Alligator mississippiensis: one gene and its partner. The protein of the gene in region 1 binds, or shares a complex with, the protein of each later gene. Links are inferred from orthologs where the notes say so. Each region holds a gene or a part of one and is shown in the gene's direction. Other genes may lie near its edges.

Region 1 (7,970 bases):
AGAGTATTTCCTTTTTCTTATCTTTTCCTGAATTGCCTTTTAAAATAAATTTAAGGTCTTTACAGGAGGGATGAACTCATATGATTTTGCCCAGCACCTATACAATGGATTCTGATCTCAGTTGAAACCGCTAAGCAAGTGGTTCTCAACTGTTTCAGAGCAAAGGGCACCTCTCCATCAATTTTTTGAATATGTTGGCACCCCTGGTTGAGAACCACTATTGGTGCTTCCTCAACTTACCTCAGTATTTCTCAATTGGGTGATGCTGCCTCCAGTTAGAGCTGTCCCATATACATGCTGCAGAGGCAGACCAGGACTGGCTGTGACATGTGCACATGCTCCTCCTCCATTAGGATTCTCTGATATCCCTAAAGCAGACAGAGCTGGCTTAAGCTGTAGCCCTACCTGGTCCAGACCCTCATCCCTCACTTTTCTCCCAGAAAGAGGTGAGCACGTAAAACTGTCCTCTCTGCCTCTGCTTCCACAGCACCCCCAAGAAGATCTCATGGTACCTCAATCGAGAACCACTCCTCTAAGTTCTGTAACAAAAAATGCAACTTGCAAACCTTCTTCCACTGAGTTATTTTCCATTTGGGCACTTAGTTTGTTTTAATCTGCAGTTTATATTCCATTAAAATACTTCAGAATGAGACTGTAACATCAAGTGAGTTGCCTATTAACAACAACAACAACAAAAATTTCACCTTCTATTACAAACTCAAGATGATTGCATTTTCCATTATTACCCATGTTTAAATGGACTCCAAGATTGGCCAAAGTTGTTCTTGATATTTTGGATTCATGGCTAGCAAGCTTAAAGATATTGTCTCACAATACAAAATGTTTACTGTGGAGGAATTTTAAGCAGCCGCTTCTGCGTCCAGAGCCAAAGAACATTCCACACCTAAAACAATGTTCTAGAAAACCAAGGCCTAGAAATACCAGTCTGCTACAAAAATTAAACACACACATTTGCAAAACCAATGCCACACACACAAATAACAAACCACAGTGTTGTTCAACATCACAAAAATGTTACCTAGGGGTGGATCCAGGAATGCACTGGTGCACTTGCACCTCCATTTGATTCCTGCTCTATGCAAAGTTTAAAACCAACTGCCTGATAATGACAGCAGCATTACTAGTCAGGCAGCACTGAGGGAGTCGCTTGACTTCATGGCTTCTTGTCATTTACCTGCTCCCCTCTAAAATTTTCATTCCACAGGTGTTAATGACCTTCTCCTTTTTAATGGTCTTGATCAGCATTTCTCAACCGGTGGATCGCGCCCCAAAAGTGGGTTGCAAGAATATTTGAAAGGGTTGCAAGGAAGTCCCAGAAAAACCCACGAAAGTGCAGGTTTCCCCTTGCAGGCTGGCAGTGTTCCAGCCTGCTAGAGCTGCTTAGGATGTATGGAAACAGCAGGCGCACATGCACCTGCACGCACAGACGCACATGGCCAGCATGCCACAAGGCTAGGTCGTGGGAGCAGCCCCAGCAGCTGGACACAGGTAAGTGTATGAGAAGCGGGAGATGGAAGTCCAGGGGACTGTCCAGAGGGCTGGGGTGTGTGTGTGCACATGTGCATGCGTGTCACACAGGTACTGAGGACAGTGGCCAGAGGCAGGACTGTGGCAGGGCAGGGGGAGCGGCAAGGAAAGGGTGCCTGGCCCTTTAGCAGGAAAAGAAGGCAGGGGTGGTTCTTCACAGAGGGGAGCTGCATGCCTGGGTGGGCAGCACAGGGCCACTGCCTATACACATACTCACTGCTCATGCTCTGGCCCAAACAGGATGGGGGCAGCTGGGAGCCCCAGCAGCAGGGCTGGGAGGTAAAGGACTATGGATTGGGAGTGAAGGACACCAGCATGGCCCGGGGGGGAGGGCGGGGGGGGAGAAGGGTTTGTGGCTTGGGGGTGAGGGGAGCTGGCAGGGAACTTTGGGTCAGGCATCAGCAGGGCCTGGGGGTTGTGGGCGGCTTGGGATAAGACATCGATCTTGGCAAACGGGTCCCAGAACGAATAAGGTTGAGAAGGTTGGTCTTGATCTTACACCAATCAAGCTATCCTTTGTTCTGCTATATGTTCGCTGCTCCTGGTACTGAAATGCCTATTTCACAGCCCTGCAGATGCTTTCTAACTCATTCCAATTAAGTTTGATTTGTTTTTGCTTCCATTTTAAACTGAATAACACAGCCCTAGTCCCCTAGCATATTAGTAACACTTCTAGTTTATTTTTAACTGGAAAAAAACAGATGTTGTTTTATATGTGATGACGCACCTGCCCCTCTGCACCCCGCTTTTCAAAATTTTAGATCTGCCTACAACCATACCCATCTCAGCACACCTTCCCAGCATGTCTAGACCCAGCTCACAGATATAAAAGGCCAGTCTGTGTACCTGTCCTTCCGTCCAACCTTCTTTCATTTGCAGGCCCCAAAAAATGTTGAATGGAGGTAGGGAGTGGGACCCCTTTGAATTATAAGTGTGGGTATTCACACACTTTTAATTGATCACAGTCATCTTTTATGGGCCCCTTAGACATAGTCTGTGGACCCCCAGGAATCCGCAGACTACAGGCTGAAAACCACCAGTCTATAGTGTTGTCATCTACAACAATTTTACATTCATCCTTGAACCAAGAAACCAGGCACTTTAACAGTATGTGTTTCCAGGCCATTTCCTTACTAGCATGCAAGAAAATTGCTGTGCAAGACTTCAACTTAAAGGCCCCTGCTACATGTTATGCAATTAACTGGTTAATTGCACAATAAGTTTAGACCGGCCACACATGCAAAGTGAGACTGGCCACAAGTGCAAAGTAACTGTCACATGATAAAAATGACTATAAAAATGCCAACATAAAGGTAGTGCTTGAGGCCCCTGCTACAGGGTACATATTACGCAATTAACTGGCTAATCTCACAATAGATTTAGCCTGGCCACAAAAGCGAAGCAACTGTCACACGATAAAAATTACTAGCCAGCTCTAAAAAGAGCCAACCTGATATAAAATCTGTACTTGAAAATGCATGACAGCTGGGTTCTATCCAGCTTTCATATGAACATGTAGCAGGGCCTATACTAGCACACAAGGTAGCTGTCGTACAAGACTGACTTATAGGCCCCTGCTATATTACATATATTATGCAATTCATTGGTGAACTATGCAATAAATTTAGACTGGCCACACCTGCAATGTAATTATCACGTGATAAAATGACTAGCCAGCTCTAAAAATCACCAAACAGCTATAAAGTTAGTGCTTGAGGCACCTACTACATGCTGTATGTACTATGCAACTGAGTGGCAAATTGCGCAATAAATGTAGACCGGCCACATGTACAAAGTAACAATCACATGAGAAAAAGGAGGCACCAGCTCTAAAAAGAGCCAACCCCCTCCAAAGTTAGCGCTTAAAAATGTGTGATAACTCTTAGAGCATCTTTACACATGCTCTGGGGCTGGGGGCACTCTAATTAAAGCACCTGCAGCAGCTCATGTATTCAGTATCCTGCACTTCAAAACAGCAGTGGAGGCACTTTAAGTAAAGCTCGTTCAGTGAGCTTTAGTTGAAGTGCCCCCACCTCCATTTTGAAGTATGGGGATGCTGAATTCATGAGACACAAAGGCAGCTGGCGTGCGTTAATTCATACAACTTGAACCAAGTCTGCTCTGACGTGCTGTAACTACAGTGAGTCAGAGCCGTGTCCCCGCACCCCTACAGCCACCCCTGGAGCTGGCTTCTGCCCAGCCCCCATCGCAAGGTGTGGCAGGGCCGAGGACCCCGGCACACACGCAGCCACACCCCTGAGGTGGCCTGACAAAAACAGCGGTGGCCTTAGGGCTGCTGGGGCTCTGGTCAAGTGAGGCATTTGGGGCCCCTTGAAGGCTTAATTTTGTTGACCTATAAGCAAGTCAGACATTTTTTATTTCAATTTCACATAGCCCTATCCACGAAACTGCAATGCAAGTATCTTAATACCTTATTGAGGATACAAATATTCAGTATCGTTCATTTTTATTTTTATAAAGCGTGGGGGCCCTGCGCAGCTGCCCGGTTTGCCCTCCCCTCAGGCCACCACTGATGAAGACCGTCCTGCATTCGAAGGCTCATCAAACTTGATGCCAGCTCCACAGCGGGTCTGCTCAAAGCGATCGCCCTATGAAGCCCTTCCTTCCATTTCGCATCGTTTCTGGACTCTCACGGTCACTGCGCTGCCTGGACGCTGCGTGGCTCTGCACGGCTCTCGCACGACAACAGCGCCCTGGGCGTGCGCAGCCCACCCTCACCTTCCCCCCCTCAAGCGGCTCAACCCCCGCAGGGGCCGGCCCGGCCCGGCACAGCCTGGACCGCTCCTTCCCCCTGCCTCGGCCAGGCGGGTACTGAGCACCCCGGGAGCGGCCCGGGCCGGACGCTGGCAGGGCCCCGCAGCCCCGGCCCCTCGAGAATCCCCACCTCGGCTCCGCCGCGGGGCCGGGGCAACAGACGCGGAGCGACGCCCGAGGCCCTCCCGCCCCGCGAGACAGCGCCCAGCGGAGGCGCCGCCGCCGCACTCACCTCAGCGCGGGGCCCGGCGGGGCGGGGGCGGGGGCGGGGCCGGGCGGGGGCGACGGAGAACAGCAGCCGCCGCTGCGCCGCTCCGAGCCGCGGCCGCCGGGGGGCGGGGCGGGGGCGGACGTGAGCTCACTTCCGGGGCGGGACCAGGCCGGGTCATGGCGGGCGGCGATGGCAGGTGAGAGCTGAGCCGGGCCGGGCGGGGGGTTTGCGCGGGCCTGGAGGAGCCGCTGCCGGGCGGCCCGGGGCTTGTCTGGGGCGGGGGGAGGCCCCTGCTACACGTTACATGTAGTGCGCGGTACAGCCACACGCTGCGTATTGCAGGTTGCGCCATGAACCCTGCACTGCATGTGGACTGGGCACACGTTACATGTGTAGTGCAGTGGACTGGGCACACGTTACATGTTCATGGTGTAATACTGTGTGCTGCACGTAGACCGGTCACACGTTACATGTGTAGTGCAGTGGACTGGTCACACATTACACGTTCATGGTGTAATACTGTGCACTGCACGTAGACCGGTCACATGTTACATGCATCGTGCAATGAACCATGCAGCACACATGGACTGGTCACATGTTACATGTTGCACAATGGCCCATACACTAAATATAGACCGGTCACCCATTACATGTATTGCACAATGAACTGTGCATGACACGTAGACTTGTCATGCGTGATGTGTTGTGCAGTGATCCATGTGCTACATGTAGACCAGCCACACATTACATATATTGTGCAGTACACACAGACTGGCGAAACACTATGTAGTACATGTATTGCACCATGAATCATACGTTACATGAGTAGACCACCCACATTACATGTATGGCACAATGAACTGCACAGTAAATGTCGACTGGCCACATGCTACATGTACCGCAGTTTGCCGTGTGTTACATGTAGACCAGTCACACATTACATGTACCGTGCAAGTATGGGCGACAGGTGTCTCCCAAGTCTGGGGAGGCACCAGATTGCCAATGGCGGGGGAGAGGGGCATTTCTGGTTTCGCAGCTGGCACTTCCAGGGGGTGCACCCCCTACGCGTTGCCAGTGGTGTAATGAATCACGTACTGCACACAGACCAGCCACATGCTATTATTTGTATGCATTGCTCAGTGAACTGCATAATACTCATAGACCGTCTACATGTGAAGTAATTGTCACAGGAGAAAAAAGGGGACTAGCTGGCTCTAAAAAAGTACTAAGTTGCAATAGAGTTACTGCTTGAACATGTGTGTCAGCTCTACAGCTGGTTGCTGCCCAGCTTTTGTGGGAATGTGCGGCAGGACCCCATGTTGGTAGCAAGGGTATGTGCCCACAATTGTTGCTGTTCCTGTAGCAACTACCAATTCCTGCCCCTCGATTTATGGCAGATCTGTGATGGTGAAAAGGGGGGTGAAGAGGGAGAGGTGCATCATTGCATAAAAAACATCACACATTTTTCTCCAGTTAAAAATAAACCAGAAGCTTTATTCATCCACTAGGGGCCTAGGGCTGCATTATTCACTTTAAAATTGAAGCAGAAACAAGTAAACAAGTCAAACTTCATTGGAATGAGTCTACACTAGTGGACCATGAAGACTATTAAAAAGAAGAGAGGGTCATTAACACCTGTGGAATGAAGAGTTTAGAAAGGATCAGGTAGATTATAATGAGTCATGAAGTCAAGTGACTCTCTCAGCTGCCTAACTAAAAATGCTGCTGGCATGGCCAGGAAGTTGGTTTTAAATTTTTGGTAGATCAGGAATCAAAAGGGGCACAAATGCACCAGTGCACATCCCCGTGGATCCGCCCCTGCCCTCTCTGCTATGATTTTCTATATAAAAGAGGGAAACCCCCCTGGTTCTTGTGGCAGTTTCTGGGATTGTGGGGCTTATCTAAGAAATTGAGCATCAGCCCACAAAGCATGTGCTCTCTCTTTATATCTTATCTTGTTTATAGGGTGTATCTCTACCTTGCCTTCTGACTGACTTCAGACCAACACAGCTGACTACCTCTCTCTTAAGTTACTGCCATTCTGCTAAATTCTGTTTCATTTTCTCAGCTGTCACCAAGGGAGAAGCAAAGAAAACATCACATGGACACGTGCAACTATGATCACCAGGTGGAGCAGCACTTCAGTTCCTTGTCACAAGTTTTAAAGCTGCTTTTTCTGTCCTTTTTACATAGCAAAGAGCCCTGCAGTTGTGACTCCCAAAAGACCTGTTTTATCTGTTAGCGCAAGGAAAATTAAGGATAATGCAGCAGATTGGCATAATTTAATGATGAAATGGGAGAGCTTGAATGATAAGGGTTTCACGGCCGCCAACAAAATTGTGAACCTGAAAATTAGCGCACAGTGAGTATGGCACGCAGTGAGTATGGCAAAATATGACCTATGGGCCAGATCTGGCTTGCCAAGGAATTTTATCTGGCCTGCAGTAGGTCACTTGGCCCTGCCTAGCCCAGGAACGGAGGACAGCCCAGCCATGGCACACGCAGCCAGTCCCACTGCTCCCAGGCACAGGGCAGGGGCAGCATGGCAGTCAAACTCTGCTTCTCAGGAGCAGCCCCTTTTGACTGCTGCCACTAGCATCTCCACTGCTGCCAGAGCCAACCCCGCTGCCCAGGCAACTCTGGCCTACCCGCCTTGCAGCCACCACCAGGGGCACGAGGGAGCAGGAGGGCACAGCGTCCATTAAGACTGGCTGGGAGCCCTGTGGGCAAGGTATGCCCCACAAGGAGGGTAGGATGGGACTGCAGGGAGCAGATCATGGCTCTGCCCTAGACCCTGCACTGTCACTGCCTTGGGATCTTGGCCCCTCAACCTGTCCCACTCCTGGACACTGCTCCCTGCCTGTCCAAGTGTGCCCTGCCTACAGGGGTCCTGGCTGATCTTCATGGAGATCCCACCTGCCTGCTCTGTCCAGCACCCACAGTGGTAGGTGCAAGGTGGATATACCCTGGCCAGATAATATCAATTGATGCCGTGTGCCAAGCTAGGCCAGCACTTCCCACCCCCAATCTCCCTCCCCAGCCCAAAATAGTTTATCCAAGTTCCTAAAGTGACCCTCCAGCCAAAATAATTGCCCATCCCTGTTTTAGGGCATAAGGTAACCTATTACTAGTGGGGTTTAGAAAGAAACTTTCACCGTAAACAGATTATTTCATTACTGCCTAATGTAGGCTTCTCACCTCTTCCCGAGTCATCTGGTGCTAATCTGTGTTGGATGGTAGCCTGAAGAAATCACTCATTGGTTCTCTTATTGGTCACAAAAGAGGCTTGTAGGATGCAGGCCTTAGAATTGTGGAGAACAGCATGGATTTTAAATTCTTAGCATTCTGAGTAAAGGTGTACAGAGGCACTCACGCTGATATATGCTTTTGTATAGATTTAAAGATAACAGGCTGGAGATTGAATGTGAGAACCCTA
Region 2 (7,654 bases), on another chromosome or scaffold:
TATAAGCCTGAACATAGCAGAGTGTGGGAGTTATGAAGTCTCCACTTTTAATTCTTACCCCTGGGTACGGACTCCCCCTGACTCCTGGGTACGGACCCCCCCTGACACTAGTCAAATAAGCTCACTTCTTTGGCTCCAGGATCCCACCCCATTCTGCAAAGTGCAGACAGTACTGCAGTACGAGCCCTTATGGGAGCGGGGAGAGATCATGGAGCCTAGCACTGCAATACTGGTGTATGCTAATTGCTCTATTATATCAACAGATCTAAAGTCGCTGCTGTAGAGTAGTGTTGCCCAAGAGCAACAAATTGATGCATATGGAAGCAGGTGGGACAGGACTGTGCAGAACAGATAGCAAGGCAATCTTTCACAGCAGGCATGAAAAAAGAGAGGTAAATAGTTCTGCTGACAAAATGGACATTCACCTGGAATCAAACCTGGAAAGGACCGCAGAGGTACTGCCCTGCGTGCAGGCATCCAATGCTCGGCCAACAGCTGGAGTGGAATAATTACTTTTGCTTGTCCTGTGCAAGAGGTGACATTAGTAAGGAAATGCTCCTTTGAAGAGTGATCGTTTTGCAGGTTTTAGAGGCATGAATGATGGAGGTCTTTGGAAAAAAGCCAGAAGATAACGAAAGCTTTGCAAATACAAAGAGAAGTACTTCACCACCCAGGAGACTGTGCTCCAAGGAACGCCTCCGCTTGCTACTCCCAGAGCATGGCACATCTGTGCCAGCCGCATCAGCCCCTGCTCCTTCCCACCTGCCAGTGCACTGGCAACAGGACCTTCTGGTCTCTCCTCCCCCTACCAACGGTACTCCCTTGTTACCTTTTATTAGCAGCTTTTACTTTCGCTGAAGGACACCTTCTGCTCCTAGATGGAGGCCTTTTGGCTGCTGCCTTTGCCTGAAACATGAGCCAGTGAATTATTTACTATTTTGGGACCTAGCCACAATTCATGGAAGTATAGAAGAATAGGGCTGGAAGGATCTCCTCTTCCAAGCGTCACCATAACTAAGCCAACTTTGACAACGAGAGCTAAAAAAAAACCTCACGGGGTGCGTCTACACGAGATGCTTTACTGTGGAGCTGACCAATTAGCCCCGCAGTAAAGCGTCAGCGTCTACACATGCGGTGCTATTAGGCCGGAGTAAATTAAAACGAACTCTGCTGTAGGACAGTACTGCCCAAAACAAGTACTACCCTACGGTGGAGTTCAGTCTGCTGCAACACGCGTGCAGAAGCTGACCTGGCTGGCTGGGGCATGAGGTTGTTTCAGTGCAGGGGCTGCCTGCCAGCTAGCCCCACTGGAGCACCCTTGTGCTCCAGCCAGCTCCTCTGCAGCACGTTGAGTTGGGGTGGAGTAGCCCTGGGCTGGCAGGCTGACCCCCCAGACTCTCTGCCAGCTGGGGCTGCTCCACCCTGGTTCAACGTGCTGCGGCCCCAGGCGCTCATGCAAACATGGTGCCTGGGAGTAATAAGCTCCAGTGCAAACGGTGCTGGAGTTTATTGCTCGGCCCCAATTGCATGTGTAGACGCCTACTGTCCCCTTCCCAGCCAAGGAAACTGTAAAAAGAGACATTTCCCCTTAGAGGCTTTATCATAGCCTAGAGCTAAGACGTGGAGAATCTCAACATTAGGGCTTGTATTTTGATCCTTGCTAAAGGCGCCTGCACCCTGCGTAAGCCTGAACATTGTAACCGAGAGAAGAAACAGCTACAAAATGTTTCCCTGCATTGTCAAAACTTAATGAGTCCTAGGTATCACCTATTTCAAGTTACCCTGAGGCTTGTTCTGTGTTTGCTTTCCCAAACAAACTAGGACATCTGACTGCAGACAGCACTGTCAGTTGCACAAAGAAAAAAAAGAGTCTCTCAAATGTTACTAATACAACAGAGAACATTTTCACAGACATGCTTTAAAATCCCATCCTGGAAAGACGTATAGCTTACCGATTCCATATTTTTGCAAAATAAAAAAAGCTCCGTGCAGTGTCACAAGTGGAAGTGGGCGTTTGTTATTTAAGCAGAACAGAGGTATTCTGTTGTGAGCAGTACTAGGCAAGTCTACAAGCATTATCCCAACCACTATTCAGTCCTTTTTTGACTGGGCTTTTGCCAAAATAAAAATCATCCGCTTACCTTTTCAGTCCTTGGCTGGGTATTTTCAGATTTTGGCTCTTCAAGGGCTTGGCTCTCCTGCCTGCTTTTCTTTGAAGCAGGGAGCAAACAGAACTCGGTTTCTTCAAAAGCTCCAATGTCTTTTTTGGATTTTCCAGCTAGAAAGAAAAGAAAAACGTCCATATTAGACGGAGGTGCACTTGCATGTAAATCAAGGGCAATTCAAATGACTAATGATTCTTCTTCACCGAGCTGTTCCTTTGTGGATATTTTGGGGGGCAGTTATTGAGAACACTGTAGAAGGACAAATGGGATTTCAGAAGGAAAGATGGCGTATTGAAGGCTCAGATAAGTGCAGAGAATGCTTCTGAAAGATATAGCAAACCTAAGAAAAGACTCCCCAGATATAAAACCACCACATCATCTGGAAATATGGTGTCTTTTCATCCTACTTTGGGCAGTGAATCAGAGCTGAAATAATTCAGCTGATAAGACCAGTAAGCAAAACCGCAGTCACGCAGCCCGTGCATCTGACCGCACACAGGGCTACCTAACAACCCTTACAAACCAACTGACCTTTCTTGATCGTTTTGAAAGGCGTCTGGATGACTTTTGCTGTGATTTTGTTTATTTCTGATATTTCCACATCTGCCTAAAACCAGAAAGAAATCACAACCAGAGATATGTTATTGCTGAAACCAAATGCACTCATACTTTTAATAGTTTACAAGACTACAGCATCAATCCCAAATTGCTTTTAAAACAAAGGTTCATCTGGGTTTCTTGGCACTTGGCTGTATTCATGTACGGGGCTTTTACAGCACGTTAGGAAAGATAGCAGCTGGCAGGACCTGCCTGCTATCTAGTCCCAGAGCTTTATTTCAGCTTTCCCAGTCACCCGTCTCATGCCAACCCAAGCCCAAACTGGAGTGTTTTTTGGTCTGTATAAGTACGTGATCTCTGGTGGCTCAATGGCAGAGACCAGAGACTGCTCGGCCCTCTGTCTGGGCGCACTGCTGATACACAGGCTTGGAAAAAAAGGCTTCCCATAAAGCAAGATTACTGAAAAAGAAATGAAGACATCATGTAATATGGACGCTAAGGGAGAGATCTCAGAACACTGCCTTTCCTGGTCCTCTTTGAAAAGGTCAATGGTTTATTAAACCCACCGTTTAATAAAACCTCTACTTGAGCTGGTGCCAACTTTTGGAAACAAGGATTGGTGGCTGACAAGAGGCGACCTGCACCACGCCCTTAGGACACGGGTGGGTGTCCTGCCAAAATGCTTACTGCGTTCTGGCAAGCCACCGAGGGCTGCCTGACAAGCAGCCAGGGCCAGATACATTTTTAGGGGCCCCGCGGGCTGGATAACACGTCCTGGCGGGCTGCATTTTGCCCACCCCCGCCTTAGGATAACCGAGCACGTCAGATGCAGCAAATATCTTCCGAGGGGTTTGCATTGAGTGAAAACAGTGAGGCAAGTTTCCTGCTTACCGTTGCTGCCTCTTCTAGGGCTTTTTTACTTCCTCCTTTAGCTAGAAAGAGAACGTTTATCTTCATAAATAGGCGAACTAGAGACATTTGCGTCATGTGCTAGTTATATATTAAAGCATACGTTTTAAAAGCAAGCAACACCTAGCGGAAAAGGAAGACGGCCGGCAGGCCTGGAGCAGCCCACGGCACAAACCGCAACGCCCCAGCCTCGCAGTGTCCTGCCGAGGCGATTCAGGAAGGATGCCCTGGCTGGAGAACTTGGGGACGAGAAGACAACGTGACTTTTCACTGCTTCGCCCCAATGCCAGCCTTCACCTACCGGCACGTTTAAGGCAGCCAAAAGCTAACGCATTTTGGAACTTTTTTGAACAATAAGCATTTAGGTGAAAATTAAAACGGATGATCCCGTGCGACACGGCAAGATCTCCTGCGTGCTGCGGCACAGGAGACCACGCCGTGCGCGGGGGGCCTTAATCTAGCCCCACATTACACGTCAGTATTCGGGTATCCAGCTTGTAGCTGGATTGGTCCCGAAAAAAAAGAAATCCGGGCTCACGGTAGAGGTGATCCCTCTCGTTAGACCAACTCGATTAAAAAAACTAAATCTTTAATTGCAGCTTTCGGGCACAAACGTCCTCCGAACCCGGAAACTTGCCATTAAAGATGGGTTTTTTTTGCAAAACCCGTGTTGGTCTAAGGAGGGAGATCGCCGCCGCCAGGAGCCCGGGCTGCGCGCCCGCCCCGCACGGCTCGTGAACCCCGCCGACCGCGTCCGCCCCGCGACGCGACGCGACGCACCGAAGTAGCCGAGCCAGTTCATCTCTCGCAGCGCGACGGGAAGCCGGAGCAGCTCGATGTCGTAAAGCTTCTCCAGCTCCTTGATGAGGCTCTGCCCGTCCGCCTGCACCCGGGACAGCCGGCTCTGCACTGGACACAGATGCGCGGCGCGGTGATGTGAGCGGGATCGCGCCGGGCCGGCGCCTCCGCCTCCCCCGAAACCCCTTCGCGCGCCCCCAGGGAGGGGGGCTGCAGCCTGCGCCCCCCCCTTTGCACCCCCTCCCCTCCCCCAACAGACTCCCTTCCCTTCCCCCACCCTTGCAGCCCCACCCCCCATACAGGCCCCGCACCCTCGCGGTCGAAGTCCTTGAGGAAGGCGGCGAGCTTCCTCTTGCGGGCACCGCCATTGTTGCGGGAGCGGGAGGGCGCCATGGGGCCGTGAGCGAGACGGGAGTCAGAGCCGCCTTCGCCGCCGCCGCGTTCAAACCGGCCCCGCCCCCGCGCTCTGCCAATCCGCGCCCGCGCCGCGCGTGACGCCAGCACGTCCCGACCCCTCCCGCGGGCGCCCCGGAAGCGGTCGGCGGCGCGCGGGGTCACTTCCGGCGCGGCTGTGATGGCGGAGGCGCGGGTGCGGGGCGCGTTGCAGGCGGAGGCGGCGGCGCTGCGGGCGGGGGCGGCGGGCTGGCGGGCGGCGCTGGCGGCGGTGGCGCCGCTGCTGGACGCGCTGGCCAACCTGGCGGCGCAGATGCGGGCGGCGCGGCGCGTGGCCCTGCCCCGCACCCCCCTGCGCGCCTTCCCCGCGCTCGGCCCGCGCCTCCGCCACAAGCAGCGCGGCGCCGCCACGGCCCTGCGCCACCGCCTCGCCCGCAACCTGTGAGCTCTGTGGGGGGGCGGGGCGGGGCGGGGCGGGGCCGGGCTGTGGGAGGGGCTTGGCGGTGGGCTCCTCCCCCTCGCCCTCACCGCGGCCCGTCGCCGCAGGGCGGCGCTGCAGCAGGTGCGGGACGCGGCGAGCGGGCGCGTGGGCGCCGTCTTCCAGCTGTACGAGGCGGCGGCGGCGGCGGGGGAGCTGGGGCTGGCGGCGGCCGTGCGGCGCTCGGCGCTGAGCCCCTCCTTGGCGGACGCGCTGGCCTGGCTGCGGGACGCGGAGCGCTGCTACCGGCAGGCGTATCCTTCCCGGCGGCGGGGGTCGGGCCGTGGGAGCAGGCGCTGCCTGCGGTGTTGTCCGTCGTGCTCCCCACGTGGGACCTTAGCTCCGGCAAGGTACCTGGAGTGCGAGCTGCTCCTGCTCCGCGCGCACCGCGAGGACTTGTCGGAAATGGAGGCGCTGCCGCGGGCCTGGGGGAGGCTGTTGGAGCGCCACAACCCGGACGTCGTGGAAGGTAACGGGAAGCTGCCGCGCGGGGGCCGTTACCGCTGGCCGTGCGCGCGCACCTCTGCTCGGACCGGGACCGAACCGGCCACGCGGTCGTTTTACGGGGACTGCCGGACTCGGAGCGCGGCCTCCGACAAGGGAAAGGCCGCGTCTCCTGTTGCATGAGTTGCCCAAAGGCCCGCTCTCGCTGCTGGGAGCGAATTGAGATGGGGTGCGTCTCCGTCTCCATCTGCGTCTGTGACCCCAAACGCCGCGGCACGGCGCGGCCCGGCACTAACGGCTCTTTCCTTTCCTTCCTTCCCAACTCAGACGCTCTGCTGAAGGCCTCGCTCTTCCTGGAGACCGGGTGAGAGCTGCGTCCTCGCGCTGCCCAGCCGGCAGAGAGGACGGCAGGGACCTCGGAGCAGCGCCCAGGCCCAGGCTTTGCGGCGAGCAGGGGGAGCCTGGCCGCGGTCGGTCGGTGGGTGGAGGGCCGGGCGCACCCTGCTCTGAGCTGTTTTAGGAGGCTCTTGCCGAGTGGGATGAGCCTGTCTGACGGCTGAGGGGCGAGCAGGCCCTGTTGCATCAGCGGTCTTGTTCTTGGAGGACATGGGAGGAAGGTTATCTTTGGTCCCGGGAGACCCAGTAATACCTGCTCTCACAGGTGTCTTGGATATTAAAGGCAAAACAGTGCGCATGGAAAAAAATCCAGGAGTGCTTGTCTGGTGATTAAAGGGGGTTTCAGGTGTTAATACATGCTAGAGCCATCGCGCACACGCTTCAGCTCCTGCCTTTGTGGGCCAACCGCAGCTTGCTGAACCAGGGAGTTGGCAGTGGGAGGTTGGTGTGTATTCCCCGGTATCCCACCCTTCCAGACAGGCCCTCGGTTTCCTTTTCTGTTTGTGGGGCCTTACAGCAGCACCGAGGAAGAAAGGGGCACGTTGAGGATGTGCTTGCGAAGCCCCAGAAACGCAGCTCCGGAAATCACATCTAACACTTAAGCGACTCATTTTCTAAACTGCGTCGCGGTGCGTGCAGCACGTGCGTGCTCTCGGTCACACGGTGCTAAGCGCCTTTCCCCAGCGGGGGTTCCCACTTTCCTGAAGCTCCCTGCGCTACAAGATAAACTGACCGGTATGTTAAAATAAGCTACCTCTGCCGATGGGGATAAGCTGCTCCAACCACAGTGAGGCAGCATCTCGAGGAGCTCGCCCTGCCCGGTGCCAGTCGCTTTCCCTTTGGCACAGTCTCTTTACGGGTTGAACCCGGGGCTTTCCCAGAGCAGAGAGAATCCGTTGTGTTGAGCTGCCCCTTCTAGGGGGATTGGCGTTTCTTACCGTGATTAGGGGCAGCGTGGCCCTGCCGGGTGCTGAGGCTGAGAGATGGTTTTGCCATATATTCTCTAGAGCAAGGTGATGTCCCTTGGGTTTGGAAGATGGGTGTCCACCAGGGGGTAGCATCGGCCTTTCCTCTGCTAAGATTCATCCCTTCCACCTGTTTCCATGTACAAGGAGTAAGTTGCTGCCAGAAAAAGGGAAGGCCTTGCTGTAAACGGGAGAGAACTGCCCATAGCAGCCCTGCTTCCTTGGCAAGGTGGCAGTAGTGACACGCTGGCCCCCGCTGAAGCAGATCCCCCTCTCCTCTGAGACTGACGTATGGGATTCTTAGGGGAGGATGACAAATGTCCTGTAAATGCTCCAGTGTGGGCATCTGCTGCCCCTGGGGCTGAGACAGCAGAGCACTGTTTTGCACTTGCTAGTAGCATTTGTCACTGGCTTCTGGGAGAGCGGTTTCTCCTGGGACAAGGCAGACTTTCAGCCCCCTCGGCAAAAGAAGAGCAGGGAGCAAAGCAAAGCCTCGGGCTGCCTGGGGGAGAGGGGTGTTCTCTTAATATCTGCGCCTCTCTTACCAG

What was found. The genes of interacting proteins can lie anywhere in the genome.
Region 2: the proteins of CINP (region 1) and AIRIM are in contact, whole or in part, in a cryo-EM structure (PDB 8RHN), measured with the Homo sapiens proteins. The link is inferred for Alligator mississippiensis from reciprocal best matches to the Homo sapiens genes CINP and AIRIM. Residues at the interface, in NP_116019.1 of Homo sapiens: Leu161, Leu162, Thr165, Glu169, Asp177, Leu178, Leu180, Ser181, Tyr182, Ser184, Met185, His188, Pro190, Tyr191, Val192, Glu193, Ser194; in NP_001289959.1 of Homo sapiens: Leu107, Gln110, Ala113, Ala114, Asn116, Leu117, Phe119, Val122, Ala124, Leu125, Phe128, Pro129, Asp130, Leu131, Arg134, Leu135, Lys138, Gln139, Ala142.

Annotation. Positions count from the first base shown.
Region 1 is NC_081825.1:285,087,406-285,095,375, reverse strand, and holds the start of CINP (cyclin-dependent kinase 2-interacting protein), read left to right. Parts: upstream 1-4,661; 5' UTR 4,662-4,723; coding exon 4,724-4,730; intron 4,731-6,727; coding exon 6,728-6,896; intron 6,897-7,929; coding exon 7,930-7,970. UniProt on the Homo sapiens protein: Component of the DNA replication complex, which interacts with two kinases, CDK2 and CDC7, thereby providing a functional and physical link between CDK2 and CDC7 during firing of the origins of replication.
Region 2 is NC_081829.1:1,028,317-1,035,970, reverse strand, and holds AIRIM (AFG2-interacting ribosome maturation factor), read left to right. Parts: upstream 1-5,004; coding exon 5,005-5,264; coding exon of another isoform or gene 5,265-5,369; coding exon 5,370-5,770; intron 5,771-5,822; coding exon of another isoform or gene 5,823-5,992; intron 5,993-6,072; coding exon 6,073-6,113; 3' UTR 6,114-6,449; downstream 6,450-7,654. Other genes in the region: CDCA8 (borealin), read right to left, coding at 426-524, 830-906, 2,142-2,278, 2,697-2,772, 3,615-3,655, 4,413-4,541, 4,742-5,523, 5,823-5,992. UniProt on the Homo sapiens protein: Part of the 55LCC heterohexameric ATPase complex which is chromatin-associated and promotes replisome proteostasis to maintain replication fork progression and genome stability.